Linked DNA regions of Anolis sagrei. The protein of the gene in region 3 interacts with the protein of the main gene of each other region in a pairwise test. Links are inferred from orthologs where the notes say so. Each region holds a gene or a part of one and is shown on either strand. Other genes may lie near its edges.

Evidence for each region.
Region 1: the proteins of ZBED1 (region 3) and LRRC20 interact in binary tests that used the Homo sapiens proteins (3 or more experiments, as listed by UniProt). The two-hybrid records come from large-scale screens. The link is inferred for Anolis sagrei from reciprocal best matches to the Homo sapiens genes ZBED1 and LRRC20.
Region 2: the proteins of ZBED1 (region 3) and EFHC1 interact in binary tests that used the Homo sapiens proteins (3 or more experiments, as listed by UniProt). The two-hybrid records come from large-scale screens. The link is inferred for Anolis sagrei from reciprocal best matches to the Homo sapiens genes ZBED1 and EFHC1.

Annotation. Positions count from the first base shown.
Region 1 is NC_090023.1:175,650,784-175,658,139, forward strand, and holds the start of LRRC20 (leucine-rich repeat-containing protein 20), read left to right. Parts: upstream 1-4,279; 5' UTR 4,280-4,475; intron 4,476-4,568; exon of another isoform or gene 4,569-4,664; intron 4,665-7,356.
Region 2 is NC_090021.1:150,390,602-150,397,537, forward strand, and holds the start of EFHC1 (EF-hand domain-containing protein 1), read right to left. Parts: upstream 3,087-6,936; 5' UTR 3,006-3,086; coding exon 2,943-3,005; intron 1-2,942. UniProt on the Homo sapiens protein: Microtubule inner protein (MIP) part of the dynein-decorated doublet microtubules (DMTs) in cilia axoneme, which is required for motile cilia beating.
Region 3 is NC_090023.1:98,069,401-98,076,889, forward strand, and holds the start of ZBED1 (E3 SUMO-protein ligase ZBED1), read left to right. Parts: upstream 1-4,464; 5' UTR 4,465-4,545; intron 4,546-7,489.

The DNA.
Region 1 (7,356 bases), about 78 Mb from region 3:
CTAAAGTGTTGACGAAACTGGACAGGGTCCGTATCGTAACTTTGATGAGTTAACTCCTTTTTCGTTAAGTAATTGTGCCAATGGGGAAATCCTGTATCCCTCATTGTTAGAGTTATTTGCACAAAACTTGCTATGATTAAAGGACACATTTACCACTGTTAGCCCATCAAGTTTCAGAATGTTTCACTCATCCATGGATTTTCAAGGAATTTCCAATGTTTTTACAAAGATTTTTTTAAAAAAACTACAAGAGCTATCTCCTTGAATTTTCTATACAATGACACAAGATAACAGATTATCCCCTCAAGTTTCAGAAATATTCACACATCTACTGATTTTGGGGATTTTAAAAAAAGTTTTGACATTTTGCTTGTGCTAAAAATGAGTCTGACTTCCATGCATTACAAAATTCAAATGAAATTGGGTGAGTTTTGATTCTGAAGTTTTTGCATGGGAGCCCTGTTTCTTAATATCTGTGTTGTTGTAGGTTTTTTCAGGCTATATGGCCATGGCCTAGAGGCATTCTCTCCTGACGTTTTGCCTGCATCTATGGCAAGCATCCTTAATATCTGTTCATATATACAAAATCTATTAATTACATATGACTTACAATTTAAAAACAAAGATTGCACACCCCTATTATTGAGCAAACTGTAACCAATCAACTCATGCCAAGGAAAGTGGCAAAGAACCCATCAGATAGTAATGTGTCCTTAGAAAGTTTTTAGAAGACTCCTAAATAGGTCGGTGGTGTGTTTGCTTTGCAAATGATTGTCAAGTGCAGCCTCTGAACAAAGGCATTTTAATCTTTCATGAATCAGATGAGATCTGGCATCTACAAAGTTGAGTTGCTCTGTAATAAAGAGATGGCTTCTGTCCCTCAAAGCAGTTGGATGAAAGAAGGGATGTTATGAGATAAAGCTGTTGAACTCTCTCTTATGCATATTCTGTCAAAGTTAGCTTAGCCCTTCATTAATAAAACAACTCCTAACTCTGGTTAATTGCATCTACCTCTGTTGCTTTGGCAGGATCTCAGTACCGTTCAAAAGCTTAACAGGGGAAAATCAGCAGGAAGGCTTCACACATGCAAAGCAATGTCTGCTTACAGCACAGGCAGACCATATGCTTCCCTCATATCCCCAATTTTAGAAATCTTAGCCCAAGCAGGACTATATGCCCTTGGTGCAACCTCTGAGAAGCTGGTTCTACCCCTTCGCAGGAATGAAGTTCAATCCTGAGCTGGTTGTGAGAGGTGGGTCTATAAGTAGTGCCATTTCTAAATGCTTTTACACTCAATTTTCCTCTCAGTAATATGCACCGTACCATCCTGCAAAATACAGGTTGAGTATCTGAAATGCTTGGAGACCAAAGCACTTTGGTTTTTTTCCCCACACTGATAAGTAAATATTTATTTATTTATGACATTTATATGCCGCCCTTCTCACCCTGAAGGGGACTCAAAGCAGTTTACAAGTAAAAAGTAAATACAATATATTATTATCATAGTACATAGGGACAAGAGACAGGGCCTTCTCGGCTGTGGCCCCCACCTGTGGTACTTGCTTCCCACTGAAGTAAGATTGGCTCCGTCCCTCCTGTCATTTAGGAAGAAATTGAAGTCGTGGTTCTGGGATCAGGCTTTTGGACAACAGACATAGATAGCACTTTGACATGGAATTGAATATGGAATTGACTGGAATGATGTTACGGCTATTAATACTGTTTTTTGTTTTTTTTACTGTTTAAAGCTCCATTGGCTGCCAGTCTGCTATTGAGTACTGGGTTGTTGTAGTTTTTTTCGGGATATATGGCCATGTTCTAGAGGCATTCTCTCCTGACGTTTCACCTGCATCTATGGCAAGCATCCTCAGAGGTAGTGAGATCTATGGGAACTAGGAAAGTGGTTTTATATATCTGTGGAATGACTAGGGTGGGGCAAAGAACTCTTGTCTGTTGGAGCTAGGTGTGAATGTTTCACCTCTGTTTTGCTGTTGTAATTTTAGAGGTTTTTTAATATGGGTAGCCAGATTTTGTTCATTTTTATGGTTTCCTCCTTTCTGTTGAAATTGTCCACATGCTTGTGGATTTTGATGGCTTCTCTGTGTAGTCTGGCATGATGGTTGTGAGAGTGGTCCAGCATTTCTGTGTTCTCAAATAACATGCTGTGTCCAGGTTGGTTCATCAGGTGCTCTGCTATGGCTGACTTCTCTGGTTGAAGTAGTCTGCAGTGCCTTTCATGTTCCTTGATTGGTGTTTGGGCAAAGCTGCGTTTGGTGGTCCTTATGTAGACTTGTCCACAGCTGCATGGTATACAGTAGACTACAAAATAATCATTTTTAACATAGTAATTTTCAAACTTTCATAGCCACATTTCGTTCCTTTTATGTAGATACTACTGAGCTAAAAAAATCTGTATCTCCTGAAGAGAACAAACTCTCAAGTATATAATTTTGTAAGTACTCAAATGTGTTGTAACTTATGGTATTTAATGGATATGTTCAACAAATATTGATGTAATAACAAGTGTGAAGACTTTACTAATTTCTTAATATGTAAAATACTTGAATATTAAGTATTTCTACAATATAATCATTTTAAACATAGTAATTTTCAAACTCTCATAGCCACATTTCGTTCCTTTGATGTAGATACCACTGACTCAAAAATATCTGTATCCCCTGAGGAGAATTTGTTCAAGTGTATAACTTTCTAAGTACTTAAGTGTGTTGTAACTCATGATATTTAATGATACAGATTTTCTATATGTATGCTACTGGAGTAAAATATTGATTTGTACATTAATTTCAGTCCACCAGAGGAAGGCCTGAGGTAGGCCGAAACCGGTCGTGGATGGCTGATCCACAAGCTACTTACAAGAAAATACGACTTTACTAAAAATTTGCACTATATTGTTTGTTGTCGCTGTGAGGTTAACAGTGCAGCATGTTTATATACTGTTGTTGAATTATATTATTGTTTATGTTATACAAGTGGTATTTTTGTTGTATGCATTTCATTCAGGAACACATTTTTATATTATAGTATAAGGTAGACTCCTGCAGAAGTGAGAGGATCCCTCTTGTCCTTTGCTGAACGTAGCATTTGTTGGATTTTCTTGGTGGGTCTGTACAATCAGGGACATCTAATCACCTCTCAGCAAAAGACTGCCCCAGGAACAGCCATCAAATGCTAATCAAGGTGGTCAGTTGAAACATTCACATCTAGCTCCAACAGACAAGATTTCTTTGTCCCACTCAGGTCATTCCACAGATATATAAACCCTTTTCCTAGTTCCAACAGACCTCACTACCTCTGAGGATGCTTGCCATAGATGCAGGCAAAACGTCAGGAGAGAATGCCTCTAGAACAGTAGTTCTCAACCTTCCTAATGCCGCGACCCCTTAGTACAGGTCCTCATGTTGTGGTGACCCCCAAACATAACATTCTTTTCATTGCTACTTCATTACTGTCATTTTGCTACTGTTATGAATGTATTTTCAGTAACTGGACTTAATTTGGCACAAATACCTGATACGCCCAAAATTGAATACTGGTGGGGTTAAGGGTGATTGATTTTGTCATTTGGTAGTGCTGGAGTTGCTGGGATTTATAGTTCACCTACAATCAAAGAGCTTTTTGAACTCCACCAATGATGGAATTGAATCAAACGTGGCACACAGAATTCCCATGACCAAGAGAAAATACTGGGAAGGTCTGGTGGACATTGACCTTGAGTTTTTGGAGTTGTTGTTCACCTATATCCAGACTGTAGACTCAAGCAATGATGGATCTGGATCAAACTTGGCAGAAATACTCAATATGCCCAAATGTGAACACTGGTAGAGTTTGGAGAAAATAGACCTTGCCATTTGGGAGTTGTAGTTGTTGGGATTTATAGTTCACCCACAATGAAATTGCATTCTGAACCTCTCAGATAGAATTGGACCAAACTTTCCACACAGAACCCCCATGACCAACAGATAATACTATGTTTTCTGATGGTCTTTGGTGACCCCTCTGGCACCCCCTTGCGACCCCCATAGGGGTCCCGACTCCCAGGTTGAGAAACACTGCTCTAGAACATGGCTATATAGCCCGAAAAAAACCTACAACATCCCAGCCTACTGGCTGCTAGGAATTGTGGGAGTTGAAGTCCAAAACACCAGGAGGGCTGAAGTTTGCCCAGACCTGCAAGAATCAAGGCAGTTTGCCCATGCGTGGTGTAGCAGATACATGTCAGATGGGGTTGTCTCCTAGGCAACACCAGAGGGCGCTTTTTCCCTCCACGGATTGGCTCTGGAGAAGCTGGTTCTCCTTCCCGGGGTTTCCTCCGTCTCAATTCACCGAAGGGAGAGCCAGCTGTTGCCGCTCTTCAGCCATGGCCAGGAGGGCAGGCCTCCGAGGCTCCGCCTGACTCGCCCCGAGGCTCAGAGGCTGACCAGCAAGGAAAGGCCGCCGTCGCGCTTGTGTTCCGGGTAAGAGCACGCCGCGCGCCACAAACCCGAAGCCTAAGGAGGCTCGCGCTCAGCTAGAGGCGCGTGCCCACCAGCCAGACTGACGCATGCGCAGTAAAGAGGAGGAAGAGGCCGGCGAGATGGCGCTGCCCTCGCGGGGACCGGAAGAACACCAGGCGACCGGAAGAACCCCACTTAAACTGGGTTGTTGTAGGTCTTTCGGGCTGATGTGGCCCAGTTCTAGAAGCATTCTCTCCTGACGTTTCGCCTGAGGGCCTCTGAGGATGTCTGCCATAGATATAGATATAATATTCATAATATTGGAATGCAATACAATATAATCCTACTACTACTAATAATATGATATTATAATTATATATTTTATATTACACTAGCTGTACCTGCCATGCGTTGCTGTGGCAAACCTTCCCTCCCTCTTTCTCTTTTTTCTTTCTCTCCTTCCTTCTCTTCCCTTCCCTGCCTCTTCTTTCCCTCCCTCTTTCTTTTCGTTCATTCTTTCTCTCCTTCCTTCCCTCTCTCCCCTTCCTTCCTCGCCTTTTCTTTCCCTCCCTCTTTCTCTTCTTTCTTTCTCTCCTCTTCCTTCCCAACCTTTTCTTTCCCTTCCTCTTTTTTCATTATTTCCTTCTCTTCCCTTCCTTCCCCACCCTCTTCTTTCTTTCTCCCCTCCCTCTTTCTTTCTTTCTCTCCTCTTCCTTCCCCACCCTTTCTTTCCCTTCCTCTTCTTTCATTATCTCCTTCCTTTCTTCCCTTCCTTCCCTCCCTCTTCTTTCCGTCCGTCCTTCCCTCTTTCTTTTCTTTCTTTCTTTTTCTTTCTCTCCTTCCTCCCTTCCCTTCCTTTCCCACCTTTTCTTTCCCTCCCTCCTCTTTCTCTTCTTTCTTTCTCTCCTTCTCTTCCTTCCCCACATTTTCTTTCCCTTCCTCTTGTTTCATTCTCCTTCCTTTTCTTCCTTTCCTTCCCTACCTCTTCTTTCCCTCCGTCTTTCTTTTCGTTCTTTCTTTCTTTCTCTCCTTCCTTCCCTCTCTCCCCTTCCTTCCCCACCTTTTCTTTCCCATGCTCTTTCTCTTCTTTCTTTCTCTCCTCTTCCTTCCCCACCTTTTCTTCCCCTTCCTCTTTTTTCATTATCTCCTTCCTTCCTTCTCTTCCCTTCCTTCCCCACCTTTTCTTTCCCTTCGTCTTCCTCTTCTTTCATTATCTCCTTCCTTCTCTTCCCTTCCTTCCTCATCTTTTCTTTCCCTTCCTCCCTCTTTCTCTTCTTTCTCTCCTTCTCTTCCTTCCCCACCTTTTCTTTCCCTTCCTCTTCTTTCATTCTCTCCTCCCTTCCTTCTCTTCCCTTCCTTCCCCACATTTTCTTTCCCCCCTCTTTCTCTTCTTTCTTTCTCTCCTCTTCCTTCCCCACCCTTTCTTTCTCTTCCTCTTCTTTCATTATCTCCTTCCTTCCCTTCCTTCCCTCCCTCCCTCTTTCTTTTCTTTCTTTCTTTTTCTTTCTCTCCTTCCTCCCTTCCCTTCCTTTCCCACCTTTTCTTTCCCTCCCTCCTCTTTCTCTTCTTTCTTTCTCTCCTTCTCTTCCTTCCCCACCTTTTCTTTCCCTTCCTCTTGTTTCATTATCTCCTTCCTTCTCTTCCCTTCCCTACCTCTTCTTTCCCTCCCTCTTTCTTTTCTTTTTCTCCTTCCTTCCTTCTCTTCCCTTCCTTTCCCACCTTTTCTTTCCCACCCTCTTTCTCTTCTTTCTTTCCTCTTCCTTCCCCACTTTTTTCTTTCCCTTCCTCTCCTTTCATTATCTCCTTCCTTCTTTTCCCTTCCTTCCCCACCTTTTCTTCCCCTCCCTCTTTTTCTTTTCTTCTTTCTTTCTCTCTCTCCTTCCTTCTCTTCCCTTCCTTTCCTACCTTTTCTTTCCCTCCCTCTTTTCTTCTTTCTTTCTCTCCTTCATTCCTTCTCTTGTTTTATATGTTTTTACAAGTGTTTTAATGTATTTTATAACTTAATTTAAAAGTCTATAATTGTACATATCCTATGGCTTCGTATGGTTGCCTATATGTCAGCTGCCTTGAGTCCCCGCCAGGGTAGAGAAAGGCAGGGTAGAAATGCCGTAAATAAATAAAATAAATATTACAGGGTGAAACTTTTTTTCAGGTAGCACCTGGAGCCCAGTTTTGAGAGCTTTTCAAGTTTGTATTTACACATTGACTAAAATATATATAGTCTGAGTGAATGTTATCTTCAAGGTCTAATACATTACATGCATACAGGTTTACATATTTGGGTGTGTATATTGTACTTTCTAAACAAAGTTTGCATTTTATGTATACAATCCTCACTGTTGCACTCTAGCCTTAAGACACCTTTTCACCCAGCACCACACCAGAGTCCAGTAGTACTAACTACAAAACTTTATTAAGAAAAACATGTACAAAACAAAAAAAAAGGCTTCCCCCCCAAAGTGCAGTAGAATAGGAAATACAATATAGCTTTTATTATATATATTATATAGTTTTTGTATAAAATAGGTACAAAAACTAGACATATACTGATAATCGGTATTTGCAAGGCTTGCTAAATGGGCTGCTTTTTCGTCTTATGATGTTCATCTGAAGCAATTTCTGCAGAGTGTACCGTAAACACCGCAGGATTTGTCAGCAGATTTGTGTAGGGGCCCTTCCAGACAGCCCGTATATCTCAGTATCTGATCCCAGGTTTTCTGTTTATCCCAGATTATCTGGCAGCGGAGACTGATATCCAGTTTAAAGCAGAAAACCTGGGATCAGATCCTGGGATATAGCAAAGATCCGCCTAGTCAAAGCCATGGTATTCCCTGTAGTAACCTATGGATGTGAGAGCTGGACCTTAGGGAAGGCTGAGCGAAGGAAGATAGATGCTTTTGAG
Region 2 (6,936 bases), on a different chromosome or scaffold from region 3:
CAAAGGCTTCTCATTCTTCCAAGGGTTTTCAAAAAAAGTATCCTATTTGATTGTAAAGCTGTAAGCTTTGGGTTGTTGTAGGTTTTTTCGGGCTATATGGCCATGTTCTAGAGGCATTCTCTTCTGATGTTTTGCCTGCATCCTCAGAGGTAGAGAGGTCACAACTTCTGAGGATGCTGCCATAGATACAGGAAAAACATTAGGAGAGAATGCTTCTAGAACATGAACATATAGCCTGAAAAAACCTACAACTACCCAGTGATTCTGGCCATGAAAGCTTTCGACACTACGCTGTAAGCTTTGTTATATTTTGCCTTTTGATAAGAGTTTGTTATTAATTGCCATCAAGCTCAAAACCAAATCAATCAAAACATTTATTTCGGTCATTGACCAGCACAGGAAATAGTGTCACGTTTCCTTACAAACCTGGCATGTTTGGTACATTAAAAATATAAATACAACTACTAAAAACACAATATGGGTGAGGGAGCAGAAGGGGAAACAGGGTAAAATCATACAATGTCCAGATCCATCACCAAATTGTAGATTCAGGGAAGACGATTACTGGACACACAGTTGACTTTTGGAACTAGTCATTCCCTGGCGGATTTTGTATGCTGCTGCACAAAACTTTGCGACATTGTAGGTTGTAGCTGAATTAGTATCCGCAAGTAGCAGGGAGGTATAAAATTGTCCTGAATGGCCTGGGTGCTTGTCTATCAGGGGTAAGATAAGCCTGGCATGGGTATCCCTGTAGAACGGGCACTGAAGGAGCACATGTTCTATTGTTTCTACATGACCCGAGTCACAGGGGCAGAGTCTCTCTGGGAAAGGGATCTTCCGGTAGCGGCCTTCGAGTACAGCTGATGGGAGAGCGTGGCATCGGGCCAGGGTGAAAGCCCTCCGATGAATAGGAACCTCTAAGTATGTTAAATAGTGAGCCATCAAGCTCACTTTGACTTATGGTGACCCTATGAATGACAGGCCCCAAGATCCATGACTGTCCTGCTCAGGTCTTCCAAACTCAGCGCTATGGTCTCTTTAATAGAGTCAATCTATTTATAATGCAGTCTGTCTCTTTTCCTGTTAGCTTACACTTTACGAAACATTATTGCCTGTCCTAATGAGTCATAACTTTTGAAGATAGGCTTATGATATAACAATTTCCCCACCATGAAACTATCTGTGGTGGTGAGATTGTGTGCTTTTTTGAGGTTGCTAGTAGAGTACCTCATGTGCGCATTCAGAAGAAGACCTACAAGCCACTCTAAACACCTTTGCAGAAGCATACGAGCAGCTCAGCTTGTCATTAAACATTGAGAAAACCAAGGTGCTTTTCCAGCAGTCACCAAATGCCTCTCTAATGCCATAAATACAACTTAATCCCTCTCCAATGCCAGAAATACAACTTAATGGTGTAACATTAGAAAATGTTGACCATTTCCACTACCTTGACAGGCACCTCTCCACCAAAGTCAACACTGACACTGAAATTCAACATTTCCTGAGCTCTGCGAGTGCAGCATTTTCCCGAATGAAACAGAGAGTGTTTGAGGACTGGGACATCTGTAGGGATACCAAGGTGCTTGTTTATAAAGCTATTGTCCTCCCAACCCTGCTATATGCTAGTGAAACATGGACTGTCTACAGACGTCACATGCAACTCCTGGAACGATTCCATCAGCGCTGCCTCCGGAAAATCCTGCAAATCTCTTGGGAAGACAAGTGGACAAATGTCAGCGTGCTGAAAGAAGCAAAGACCACCAGCATTGAAGTGATGGTCCTCCGCCATCAACATCCGTTGTCCAGATGCCCGACCACCGTCTCCCAAAGCAGTTGCTCTACTCCGAACTCAAGAACGGATAAAGGAATGTTGGTGGGCAGGAAAAGAGATTTAAGGATGGGCTGAAAGCCAACCTTTAAAACTCTGGCATAGACACTAAGAACTGGGAAGCCCTGGCCCTTGAGTGCCCCTGCTGGAGGTCAGCTGTGACCAGCTGTGCTGCAGAATTTGAAGAGGCACAGATGGAGGGCGAAAGGGAGAAACGTGCGAAGAAGAAAGGGTATCAAGCCAACTTTGACTCGGACCGCCTTCCACCTGGAAACCGATGCCCTCACTGCGGGAGACGATGCAGGTCAAGAATAGGGCTCCACAGCCACCTACGGACCCACCGCCAGCACACCAATCTTGGAGGACCATCATCCACAGACTATGAGGGATTGCCTAAGTAGAATCATAGAATCCTAGAGTTGGAAGAGACCTTACGGGCCATCCAGTCCAACCCCCTGCAAAGAAGCAGGAATATTGCATTCAAAGCACCTCTGACAGATGGCCATCCAGCCTCTGTTTAAAAGCTTCCAAAGAAGGAGCCTCCACCACACTCCGGGGCAGAGAGTTCCACCGCTGAACGGCTCTCACAGTCAGTCTCACAAGTTCTTCCTAATGTTCAGATGGAATCTCCTCTCTTGTAGTTTGAAGCCATTGTTCCCCGTCCTAGTCTCCAAGGAAGCAGAAAACAAGCTTGCTCCCTCCTCCCTGTGACTTCCTCTCACATATTTATACATGGTAAGTAAGTGTACCTCATGTTACACAGCTGAGAGGTCAGACTACATATGCCAATGAGCTATTAGAATGCAGCAGTAGTGGGGAGTGACACTAGTGGAGGACTCTCTCAAGGCACACAAGAACAAACCATGTCCCCGGCCATAAAGCTGTGTGTTCTGTGCCTTCAAGCTCGCGCAAACGAGCTTGTCCGTATTTCCTCAGTGGTTTCCCCTTCTGTCCCAGGGATGTTCAAACTGCGCATGCTCAGACAGAGCTGAGGGGCTTCTCTCGCCGCGCCTCCCTTTGGGCCTTCTGGCGGCTCCTGAAGGGAGAAACGCCGCCCCGCCGCGGGAAACGGGGCGGCGAGGCAGAGAGCTAGGCTTTTAGGTATCCTCACCGTGGGGTCTCGAAACGTCGAGCCTGGCAGGATGGGAAGCCCTTGCACCGGCTGGGAACTCATGGCGGCGGGCAGCCGGCAGCGGAGGGACTGTCGCGCGGCGGCTGCGGGTTGCCATGTCCACGCGCTCCCCCCGTTTCCTTGGTAACGATACACATCCTGAGTGCGCATGCGCCCTCCCTTAGACTAGACAGCGCGCGCCTCGCCAGTTTTCCTGTCTCGCCGCCAACACTTCCTGCAACCACCCGGAAGCTCCATTTGCTTAAGCAATTTCTGCTATATTCAAAGGTCCCTTCTAGGTGAATAAAATCCCACATTATCTGCTTTGAACTGGGACATATGGCAGTGTGGACTCAATCCACTTCAAGGCAGATATTGAGGGATTTTCTGCCTTGATATTCTGGGGCCCTTTCCACACAGCTGAATAAAATAATAATAATAATAATAATAATAATAATAATAATATTTATTTGTACCCCGCTACCATCTCCCCAAGGGACTCGGTGCGGCTTACATGAGGCCAAGCCCGAATACAACAGTACAAGCAAAACAACAATACAAGCAATTAAAACAAAACATAGACAATAAAATATACAACATTATCAATAAGACAACACACAAATCCCACATTATCTGTGTAGAACTGGGATATATGGCAATGTAGGGCTTGACAAATGCAAGGCTGGGGTCAAATTGCTGGAAGAGACATTAACAACCTTAGATATGCAGATGACACCACTTTGATGGCCGAAAGTGAGGAGGAGCTGGGGAGCCTTCTAACCAAGGTGAAAGAAGAAAGTGCAAAAGCTGGGTTGCAGTTAAACATTAAAAAAAAAAAACAAGATTATGGCAACAAGAATGATTGACAACTGGGAAATAGAGGGGGGAAACATAGAGTCAGTGACAGAGTTTATATTTCTAGATGCAAAGATTACTGCAAATGCAGACTGCAGCCAGGAAATCAGGAGACACTTCTTGGGAGGAGAGCAATGTCCAATCTCGATAAAATAGTGAAGAGTAGAGACATCAGACTGGCAACAAAGATCCGCCTAGTCAAAGCCATGGTATTCCCTGTAGTAACCTACGGATGTGAGAGCTGGACCTTAGGGAAGGCTGAGCGAAGGAAGATAGATGCTTTTGAACTGTGGTGTTGGAGGAAAGTGCTGAGAGTGCCTTGGACCACGAGAAGATCCAACCAGTCCATACTCCAGGAAATAGAGCCCGACTGCTCATTGGAGGGAAGGATAATGATCCCATAGCACTTTGTCCTCCAAAGCACTTTACATTTCCCCGAGTCTGCTTGTATGCCCCCACAAACACCAGTCTCACCTTTCGTTCATTGCCCAGCATTATTTCCAATTTTAACTCTACATTTGGCCTTCCCACTGTTTTAATTATGTGCTGCTTTTTTGATAATGTTGTGTATTTTATTGTCTATGTTTTTAATTGCTTGTATTGATGTTTTATTGCTTGTATTATTGTGTTTGGGCTTGGCCTCATGTAAGCCGCACCGAGTCCCTTGGGGAGATGCTAGCAGGGTACAAATAAAGTTAATAAATAATAAATAAATACTAGTAGAGGCAAAGATGAAGTACTTTGGCCACATCATGAGGAGACAGGAAAGCTTAGAGAAGACAATGATGCTGGGGGAAATGGAAGGAAAAAGGAAGAGGGGCCGACCAAGGGCAAGATGGATGGATGGCATCCTTGAAGTAACTAGATTGACCTTGAAGGAGCTGGAGTGGTGACGGCCCACAGGGAGCTCTGGCGTGAGCTGGTCCAGGAGGTCATGAAGAGTCTGAAATGACTGAACGAATGAACAACAACAATATGGCAGTGTGGACTCAGATAATCCAATTCAAAGTAGATATTGTAGGTTACTCTGCCTTGACATTCTGGGATATAGGGCTATGTGGATAACCCAGGGCCTTTCCACACAGTCCTATAACACAGAATGTCAAGGCAGAAAATCCCACAATATCTGCTTTGAACTGGGGGCCCTTCCACACAGCCCTATATCTCAGAATATCAAGGCAGAAAAACCCACATTATCTGAGTGTGGACTCAGAAAACCCAGTTCAAAGCAGATATTGTGGGATTTTCTGTCTTGATATCCTGGGATATAGGGCTGTGTGGAAGGGCCCTGGGTTGTCTGCTATATAACCCAGTTCAATGTGGATGTTATACAGCTGTGTGGGAGGACCTCCAGTTTGGCATAGCTACAGTTAAAAGAGCAGCTAACCTTAAAGATACAGATTCACCAATTGGCTACTCTTTCGAAAGGCGGGAGCGTTTCCGATTTGTGGCACGCCATTGGCCGGCAGTCCCGTTGCCTAGACCAATGGGGGGGCGGCGACGTTCGAGGCGGCGCCTGGGCTCCTCCCTTGGCGGGAAAAAGTCTCGGGTTTTCGCGCCAAGGGCCTTGGAGGAGCTGAGCACAAGTGACTTCTCGCCCAAGGAAAGAATAATCGTTTCCTGTCGCCATGGCTCTCCCCACGGCAGCCACGCTGGATGACGCGGAGCTGCGAGAGGCTCAACGAGACTACCTGGATTTCTTGGACGACGAGGTGAGCGCAGAGAAAAAGGCGGGAAAGGAAGCCTCCCAGCGCCATGTAGAGAGCAGTCCTTTCCGGCAAAGGAGGAGGGCGTTTGGCGCGACCGAGGCATTGATGCAGCCTTCCTCAGGCTTCCTTTACCCATTTCTAATACTGCAAGCTTCATCGTCATTACTTTGTAGTCGAGCCACCCATAGGGAGACTGGGGGCCCTTCTACACAGCCCTATAACCCAGAATTTCAAGGCAGAAAATCCCACAATATCTGCTTTGAACTGGGTTATTTGAGTCCACGCTGCCATCTATTCCAGTTCAAAGCAGATAATGTGGGATTTTATTCAGCTGTGTGGAAGGGGCCATATAAAATTCAGATTATTTACTTTGAACTGGCAGTGTAGAGTCTTGATTCCAATTCAAAGCACGTAATGTGGATTATGTATTTTGATAATCTGGGTTATAAGGCAATGTCGAAGGGGCCTGAAATGCACTCGATGGAGGGTGGTTTCTAATGTTTTGAGAATTTGATTGGATTTTGCTGTGTTACTTATTATATTGGTTTTGCATTTTATGTTTTGGTTTTGTTATGCTTTTGTGTTATATTGTGTTTACTATACTGATGGCGCAGTGGGTTAAAGCACTGAGCTGCTGAGCTTGTTGACCAAAAGGTCGCAGGTTCGATTCCAGGGAGCGGCGTGAGCTTCCGCTGTCAGCCCTAGCTTCTGCCAACCTAGCAGTTCGAAAACATGCAAATGTGAGTAGATCAATAGGTACCGCTCCGGTGGGAAGGTAACGGCGCTCCATGCAGTCATGCCGGCCACATGACCTTGGAGGTGTCTACGGACAACGCTGGCTCTTCGGCTTAGAAATGGAGATGAGCACCACACCCCAGAGTCAGACATGACTGGACTTAATGTCAGGGGACTATCTTTACCTTTACCTATACTGATGGGCGTGGCCTCATGTAATTTATTTATTTATTATTTAGCAACAATTTTGTATACCGGTCTTCTCCCCTCCATCGGGGGACTCGGGCCGGTTTCCAACAGTAATATCACAAAACAAAAGTTAAAAACATCATATAACATATTCACATTAAAACGTTAAAACAGCAAAATGCAATCACATAATAACAATGGTCAGTCGTCATAATAAATTTGTTGTTCGTCATTCGTCGTCATCCAACCAAACGCAGAAATATTGATTGACTAGTCAAAAGCCAAATTCCATAGCCAGGTTTTCACCCGTTTTCTGAACGTCAGAATGGAGGGAGCAGTCCTAATCTCCAGTGGGAGAGAGTTCCAGAGTTGAGGGGCCACCACCGAGAAGGCCCTGTCCCTCGTCCCCACCAGACGCGCTTGTGCGGCCAGTGGGACCGAGAGCAGGGCCCCTCCAGACGATCTTAACAACCTAGATGGTTCATAGGGGAGAATACGTTCGGACA
Region 3 (7,489 bases):
CTCTGCTTTGAACTGGATTATATGGCATTGTAGAAGGGGCCTAAGTATTCAAAGGGATCTTGTAGCACCTTAGAATCATTAAGCTTATTCTACCAACTTCATTACCTCAAACTTTAAGTTGTTACAAGATCATTTTGCATATGGCTATTCCAGACTGACATGGCTGTTTCTGAATTCCCTCATCACCATTTCCCCTCAGCCCCCTTTTGCCAAAAAGTTTTTTTCCTTGCTTCCCTTGCCCCCAAAAGCCCATTTCCCTTGTCTCCCTCCCTTTGTCTTGTTCTCTTCCAAGCACTATTTCCCTCCCACCGCTCAGGAGGTGCTTTGTTATGTTTTCCCTCCATGGCAGAAGGAAGTTGGACTGAATGGCCCCTGGGGTCTTCCATAGAAATGCTTTAGGGGGCATGCTTGTCAAGTTTCCAGATTACACCAAATTAGGAGGGATACCAAATATTGCAGAGGACAGGATCAGAATTCAAAATGACCTTAAGAGATTAGAGAGCTGGGACAAAACTAACAAAAATGAATTTTAGCAAGAATAAATGTAGAATTCTACACGTTGGCAGAAAACAATGAAATGCACTAATACAGGATGGGCTGATGCCTGGCTGAATAACAATACCAGTGAAAAAGATTTTGGAGTCTTTGGGGACAACAAGTTGAATATGTGGAAACAGTGTGATGCAGCAATTTAATAAGACAGTGGGATTTGGGGTTGCATGAAAATAAGTATCATGTCTAGATCAGGCATGAGCAAACTTGGGCCCTCTGGGTGTTTTGGACTCAACTCCAGCTGTTAGGAATTATGGGAGTTGAAATCCAAAACACCCAAAGGGGCCAAGTTTGCCTATGCCTGGTCTAGATCAAGGAAAGCAATTGTGCCCATCTATTCTGCTTTGGCCAGGCCTCACCTGACATAATGTGTCCAATTCTGGGCACCACAGCCATGTAACCTCTAGTGACGGAGCTCTCCCAAGCTATGTACTTGCTTCTTATAGATGTGCAAACCTACCCAGAGTAGGTACACATAGCTTGCACAATTAGCAGCTCTCAGCATCCTCATACACCCTGGCTTTTTGGGTGATTAGATGGTGGAAACTGTGATTAAACACATCAGGAAGACATCCGATTGGAAAGGATGGAAAAGCTGTGCTTCACAGGAAAATATGGTATTACTTAATCATGATGCTTCAGAATTGCAGTATATTTCAGATTTGCATGTGTATGGCCTTCTATCCTTTGTATAGCTGCATTAAGACATAATCAATTGGAAGGGAAGACAGGTAGCAGTTCATGACCTTTTAGAAAATCAGGTGCTAGTAGCTTGTACCGGCCTTCCAGGCCCCTTTAGCTCATAGCTGACATTTACTGTTTGCTCAAACAGCCTTCCAAAAACATCCTAGGCTGGAGTGATGTTTGCAAAACAAAAAAAATGTGTGAGAGCCAACAGGCTTACCTTCTCAGTGAGATCTCGCTGCACATTTGATATATTTGCACATTCATAACTGCTTTCTTTAAATAGGAATTTTCAGCAAAGAGGAGAAATGAAACAGTTAGGTAAACAGTTATTGTTTCTTATAACTGTTTACCAATTATAGCAGCTAGTGAGTTCATTTATATCAAGACTGGGCAACTGATGTATTTTTAACGTACACCTCACAAAACCCGAAAGTGAGGACTGTGGGCTTTTGAGGTTTGAATTTCCATAAACTTGCAATGTTTGTGGCACGTGGGCATTGTTACACCCCTCCAATTATTCCTATCATCCCCCCCCCCCCCCGCACAGATTTATAAAACACAGTATGTATATGCACCCATAACCATTGGCTCAGCCAGACTTCTAGGAATTAATAAAATCCTTTCCTGCTTTGAGTAAGTTTGATTGAAAATGTGAGATGCTTAATTTGGGCCTTAGACCACCATTGTTATAACATACATACATATATATATATATATTCTCTCTCTCTCAACACATATGAAGAGACAAACAATGATACATTCACTCTGGACAAGTCACCTCTTATGTATTCTTTGCCTATTAAACCCATGGAGTGGCTATACATTTGTGGTCATCACTTGTCATCTGCTTTCTTTGTTTCCCTCCTTAGTAGTGTGATGGTCAACATTTAATTCTCTACTTCTTTATTTTTAATGTTAACTAATTTTTAAAAAACCCAAATTCTTTCTATGTAAAGACTAACAATGCATTGCCCAATCACATAGCAATGAGCTCCCTTCTCCTCAAATAGGACACTTCTGACTAGACATGAATAAGTACACCTCTCTCACTTGAATGGGAAATCTGTGTCTGTAAAACCATTCTCCCCAAATATGGCTTTACAGTGTTTTGGACTTCAGCTCCCAGAATCCCTGATCATTGGCCAAAGCAGCCAAAATTGATGTCCAATACACTTGGGAATGCATTGTGATGGCTGTGACCTCCTGTTAACTGATCTCCTTTCAAACCTAAAAACCTGGCTGTTTAGTGTGCCTTAGAGGAATGAATACAACCTACACCATGACCAGCTCAGCACAATATTCCCTGTGATGCACTTTACCTCACCCTTCAATGATAATCACCCCATTGCTGCTCTCACCTGAACCCCCCCCCCCCCCGCCCCGCTAACTAGGCATACTACCCTACTCATCCATCTCACCCAGGGTTTTTTATATTTTAATTCTATCTTTTTAACTTGGCCCAGCCCTCTGTGCACATTATTATTTTATTTCATTTCCTGTATTTGGTTTTGTATTAATTTGCTTTGTTTATATTTCATTTGATGTTATTATTTGCTGTATGTATTTTATTTTGATTTGTTGTAATGGCTGGGCTTGGCTTCATGTTAGCCGCCCTGACTCCCCGTTGGGGAGATGGTGGCGGGGTAGAAATAAATTATTATTATTTTATAATCACACAAAATCAGTAATGCAGAAATTAGCACAGTGGCAGAGTTTTTATGCAGTAGCTCCAATTATGCACCAGTAGAAGTGTCAGTTTCTTTCTGGTGCTTACAGGTGCATCTACAGTGTAGAATGAATGCAGTTTGACACCACTGCAACTGCTATGGCTCAATGCTATGGTATCAAGAAAGTTGTAGTTTCGCAAGGTCTTTAGCGTTCTCTGCCAGAGTTGGTGTTTCACCCACTTGTAAATCCCAGAATTTCGAAACAGTTAAAGTGGTACACACTGCATGAATGAATTGATGTGTAGTGTAGGTGTACCCTAAGTTTGGCATGCCTTTTTACTAAACCCTGTTAACCTTTCCTTATGCTATCCAAAACTTACACACACACCCCACACGGGTGTTAACCCTTTCCTATGCTATCCAAAGCTTATACACACACACACACACACACACAAACATCTCAAGGATGTTAACCCTTCCTTATGCTATCCAAAGCTTATACACACACACCATAGGGGTGTTAACCCTTTCCTATGCTATCCAAAGCTACACACATACATATATATTCATACATACACGTATATAAATGCACACACAAACATCACAAGGGTGTTAACCTTTCCTTATGCTATCCAAAACTTACATACACCCACCCACAGGGGTGTTAATCCTTTCCTATGCAATCCAAAGCTTGCTTTTATACACACAGAGACATACATGCTTTTATACACACAGAGACATAAATACACACCCTCGGGGGGGGGGGAGGGGGGGAGGGGAAATCCATCCCTAGATAGATGGAAGAGTTAACACGCCTGTGGTGTTCATAGGGAAGTGTTAACACCCCTGTGGGGTTTTTTTTTTGTTGTGTGTGCGCCTGTTCAGAAGATTTCACCTCACTTTCTGTCCCTGTGATAATTGGATTTAGAAAAAAAAAGGCTTCTGAAACAAGGATCGGTGAGCAAGCTTCAGCCGAGGCCCCCTTTCCCCCCGATAACTCTTTGAGGAGTGAATTTCCCTCCCTGGGGGTAGATTTCTCTCCCTTCCTGTTGTCTCGCCCCTTATTAACGCTGAGCTGTTTGGATGTCGGATGTTTGTAACTCGGGGACTGCCTGTAGGTGTTTCAATAAACAAACACATGATTTCAAGCAGAAGCTGGTGCATAATTAGAGCTGCTGCTGTGCCAAAAATCGAACTCTGTCGCTGCACATCTTCTGCTTTACTTCCCTTTTCTGTGCGTCTTCCGTGGGAGGGGAGGAGATTGCGCACAGAGTCTGCACATGCCCAGATAGCAGGGAAATCCCGGTCGCTCCGAGGAGGAGGAGGAGGAGAGGCGCGGTCCTCTTTGCCTTGCCTTGCCTTGCTTTGCTTCCTCTGGGCGCGGCGAGGCCAGGGCTGCCAGGCGCGCGCTCTGAAGCCCCGGAGGCGTGCCGTCCTCGCGCCGCCTCCTCCTCCTCCTCGTCGTGCCTCTGGGCTCCTTTCCCTTCTGCAGCACGGAAGAGGCGAAGCAAAGCAGCAGCGGGAGCCATGTCGCTATTGTCCCTGGCCTTGCCTGCCTTCTGGCTCTACTGGACCGCGACGCGCCTCGTCCTGCACCAGATCTTGCGCCGCTTCCGCCTGGGCTGCCCTTCCAAAGCAGGTTAGGAGGCTCCCCCGGAGAGGCTGGGAGGGAGAGGCCTTGGCTTAGGAGAGGGAAGCCTCGCTGGCTTCGCTTTCTTCCCCTCCCCACGCGTCCTTCCACCGTTGGGAGCCAAAGTTGAGCATTTGCGCTCGGAGGGAGAGGACAGAGGACACTCCTCCTCGCAAATGGAGGGGATCCGCTTCCCTCTTCCTGCCTAGATCTTGTGGCAGGAGCCAGGCGAGGCCAAAGGGCTCCAAGCTCCTGCCCAAGGCTCTGGCTCCTGGTTACTGGGGGCCCTTCCACACAGCCCTATATCCCAGAATACCAAGGCAGTTCACCCTCAGATAATGTGGGATTTCCTGCCTTGATATTCTGGGATATAGGGCTGTGTGGAAGGGCCCTGGGACTCTTCAGTTGCAGTGCCTTCGCTGGCTGTTTGTAGCCACCGATTTTCAACCCTGGGATACAACCGCAACCTCTATCGGTCCCCTGAGGTTGTTGCATTTGCCAGTCTGCTGCCCCTAGCTTACACTTCAGTTGTAGCTTGGTGGACATACAGTGAATGTAGCAAAACAAAAAGTTTTCAAGCTACATCCAAGTTTCTTGTAACTGCCATGGTTATTGCTGTTTGTGTGCCTCCAAGTCATTTTTGACCAATGGAAAAACTAAGCAGATGGGAGCTTGTATTGTCGAAGGCTTTCATGGCCGGAATCACTCAGTTCTTGTGGGTTTTTTCGGGCTATATGGCCATGTTCTAGAGGCATTTCTCCTGACGTTTCGCCTGCATCTATGGCAAGCTTCCTCAGAGGTCATAGATGGGAGCTTGTTCTTGGGGATTTGCCCATGTTTTCCTCTGAGGTTAAGAGCATGTGACTTGCCTAAGGGCACCTAGTGGGTTTCCATGACTGAGGAGGGAGTTACAACCTTAGTTCAATATTCAAACAACTGCACCAGAGCTTTCCGATATTATGTTGGTGACGCACTACATGCATCGCTTTGCGACACAGTGCTTCAGTTTTACTAGCAAACCAGAGGTTAACCCAAGCATGGGCAAACTTCAGCACCAGCTGTTCTGAATTGTGGGTGTTGAAGTCCAAAACACCTGGAAGGCCGAAGTGTGCCCATGCCTGGGTTAAACCAAGAGATCGGAACACGTACATAAATTATAATAATGAAATGTATGGGGACATGACTTATCATGAAAATCTTGCTCATATATATATATGATTTATTGATTATTTCACATGGACTCACCTTTCTTGTTTCATTCACTTTACACACCTACACGCTACAGCCAACATTCCAATGTGTCACGACACACCATTTGGAAGGCTCAGCACTATACCATGCTGGGTTATCACATGCCTTCAAGCAGACTGGCTTATGGTGACCCTATTATAGGTTTTTCTTTTGCTTTGCAGGGCATTGCTTTCCTTTGAGGTTGAAAGAGTATGACTTACCTAAGGTCACCCTATAGGTTTCCATGGTTGAGCTTTGGTCTCCTGGTGTCCTGCTCTAGCATTCAAATCCTGATACTACTTTGGTTCCCTTGGGTACCTGTCTATTGAAGAGTGATCCAGTAATCTCACTAGGCCTTATTACTCTAAAGAAAATGCTATCTATGTTTGTCACTTTTTTCATGTCAGGAGCAACTTGAGAAACTCCAAGTCACTTCTGGTGTGAAAGAATTGGCTGCCTGCAAGGACGTTGCCCAGGAGACACCTGGATGTTTTGATGTTTTACCATCCTTGTGGGAGGCTTTTCTCATGTCCCCACATAGGGAGCTGGAGCTAACAGAGAGAGTTCTCCCCAGATTTGAACCTCTAACCTGTTGGTCTTCTGTCCTGCTGACACAAGGGTTTAACCCATTGTGCCACCAGGGGCTCCATGTTTGTCGCTAACCATACCTATATATAGTTGGCCCTCTATATCCATAGATTCTGCATCCGCAATTGAACCATCCACAGATTTTTTTTTAAAAAAAAAAATCCAAAAATCAAATTGTGATTTTGCTGTTGCATATAAGGGACAATATTTTAATACACGATTATATATAATGAGCTTCTATGGATTTTTGTATCCACAAGGGTTCTTGGAACGCCAGCAGATACCAAGGACCCACTGTATGCACTTTCACCTTTGACATCATTGAAAAGTCTGTCAATTGCATTCGTGGACATTGATTGTTTGATTGTGTGTGTGTGTAATAAGTTTTTAAATAGCAGGTATTAGTGACAGATTGTGGTTTCCATGCTATTAGCTTCCAAGACATTTGCCAGAAGTAAAATAGGCAAGAGTTGTAACCTGGTGAAAGATTGCTTTTTGCAAAAGCAAGGATATCACTGTACTCCTCCGCTTAATATGGAAAGCTGAAATTGAAGCTTTCCACTCCAGTGCTTTAATATTAGGTTGGGTGGAGATGGGGTGTGTGAAGAAAGAATATATGCTGTTTTCAGTCCCTTGGAGGGAATTGGAAAATAAATGTAAGACATAATCTTTTGGAGTTGGTGAGAAGTTCAAGGTAAACATCTACACTCAGTTACTAAGGAATTGGAATAGAATCAGACACTTGGTTGGAAGAAATTGTATTAATCTCATAGGAATAATAAAGAGCCAGTGTAGTAATTTGAATGCTAGAATTATGGCACTGAAGACCTGAGTTTACTCATAGAAATCTGTGGGTTGATTTTTGGTAACTCTAAAACTCAGAGATAGGCAAAAGCAGAGTCACCATAAGTTGGAAATGACTTGAAGTTACATAGGAACAACAAGGCAGTGGTTGCATTGTCTGTGTAACTGTGGTTCTGGTCAAAGTTGCACAACAAGAACAAGATAGGAAAAGCTTAACAAATAATCTAGCCTGGTCCCAATATATCAAATCCTACAGGAAACTGAATGGCTACTTAGGGACTACATGGCTACTTAGGGACCTTCTAGACAGGCTCTATATTCCAGGATCTGA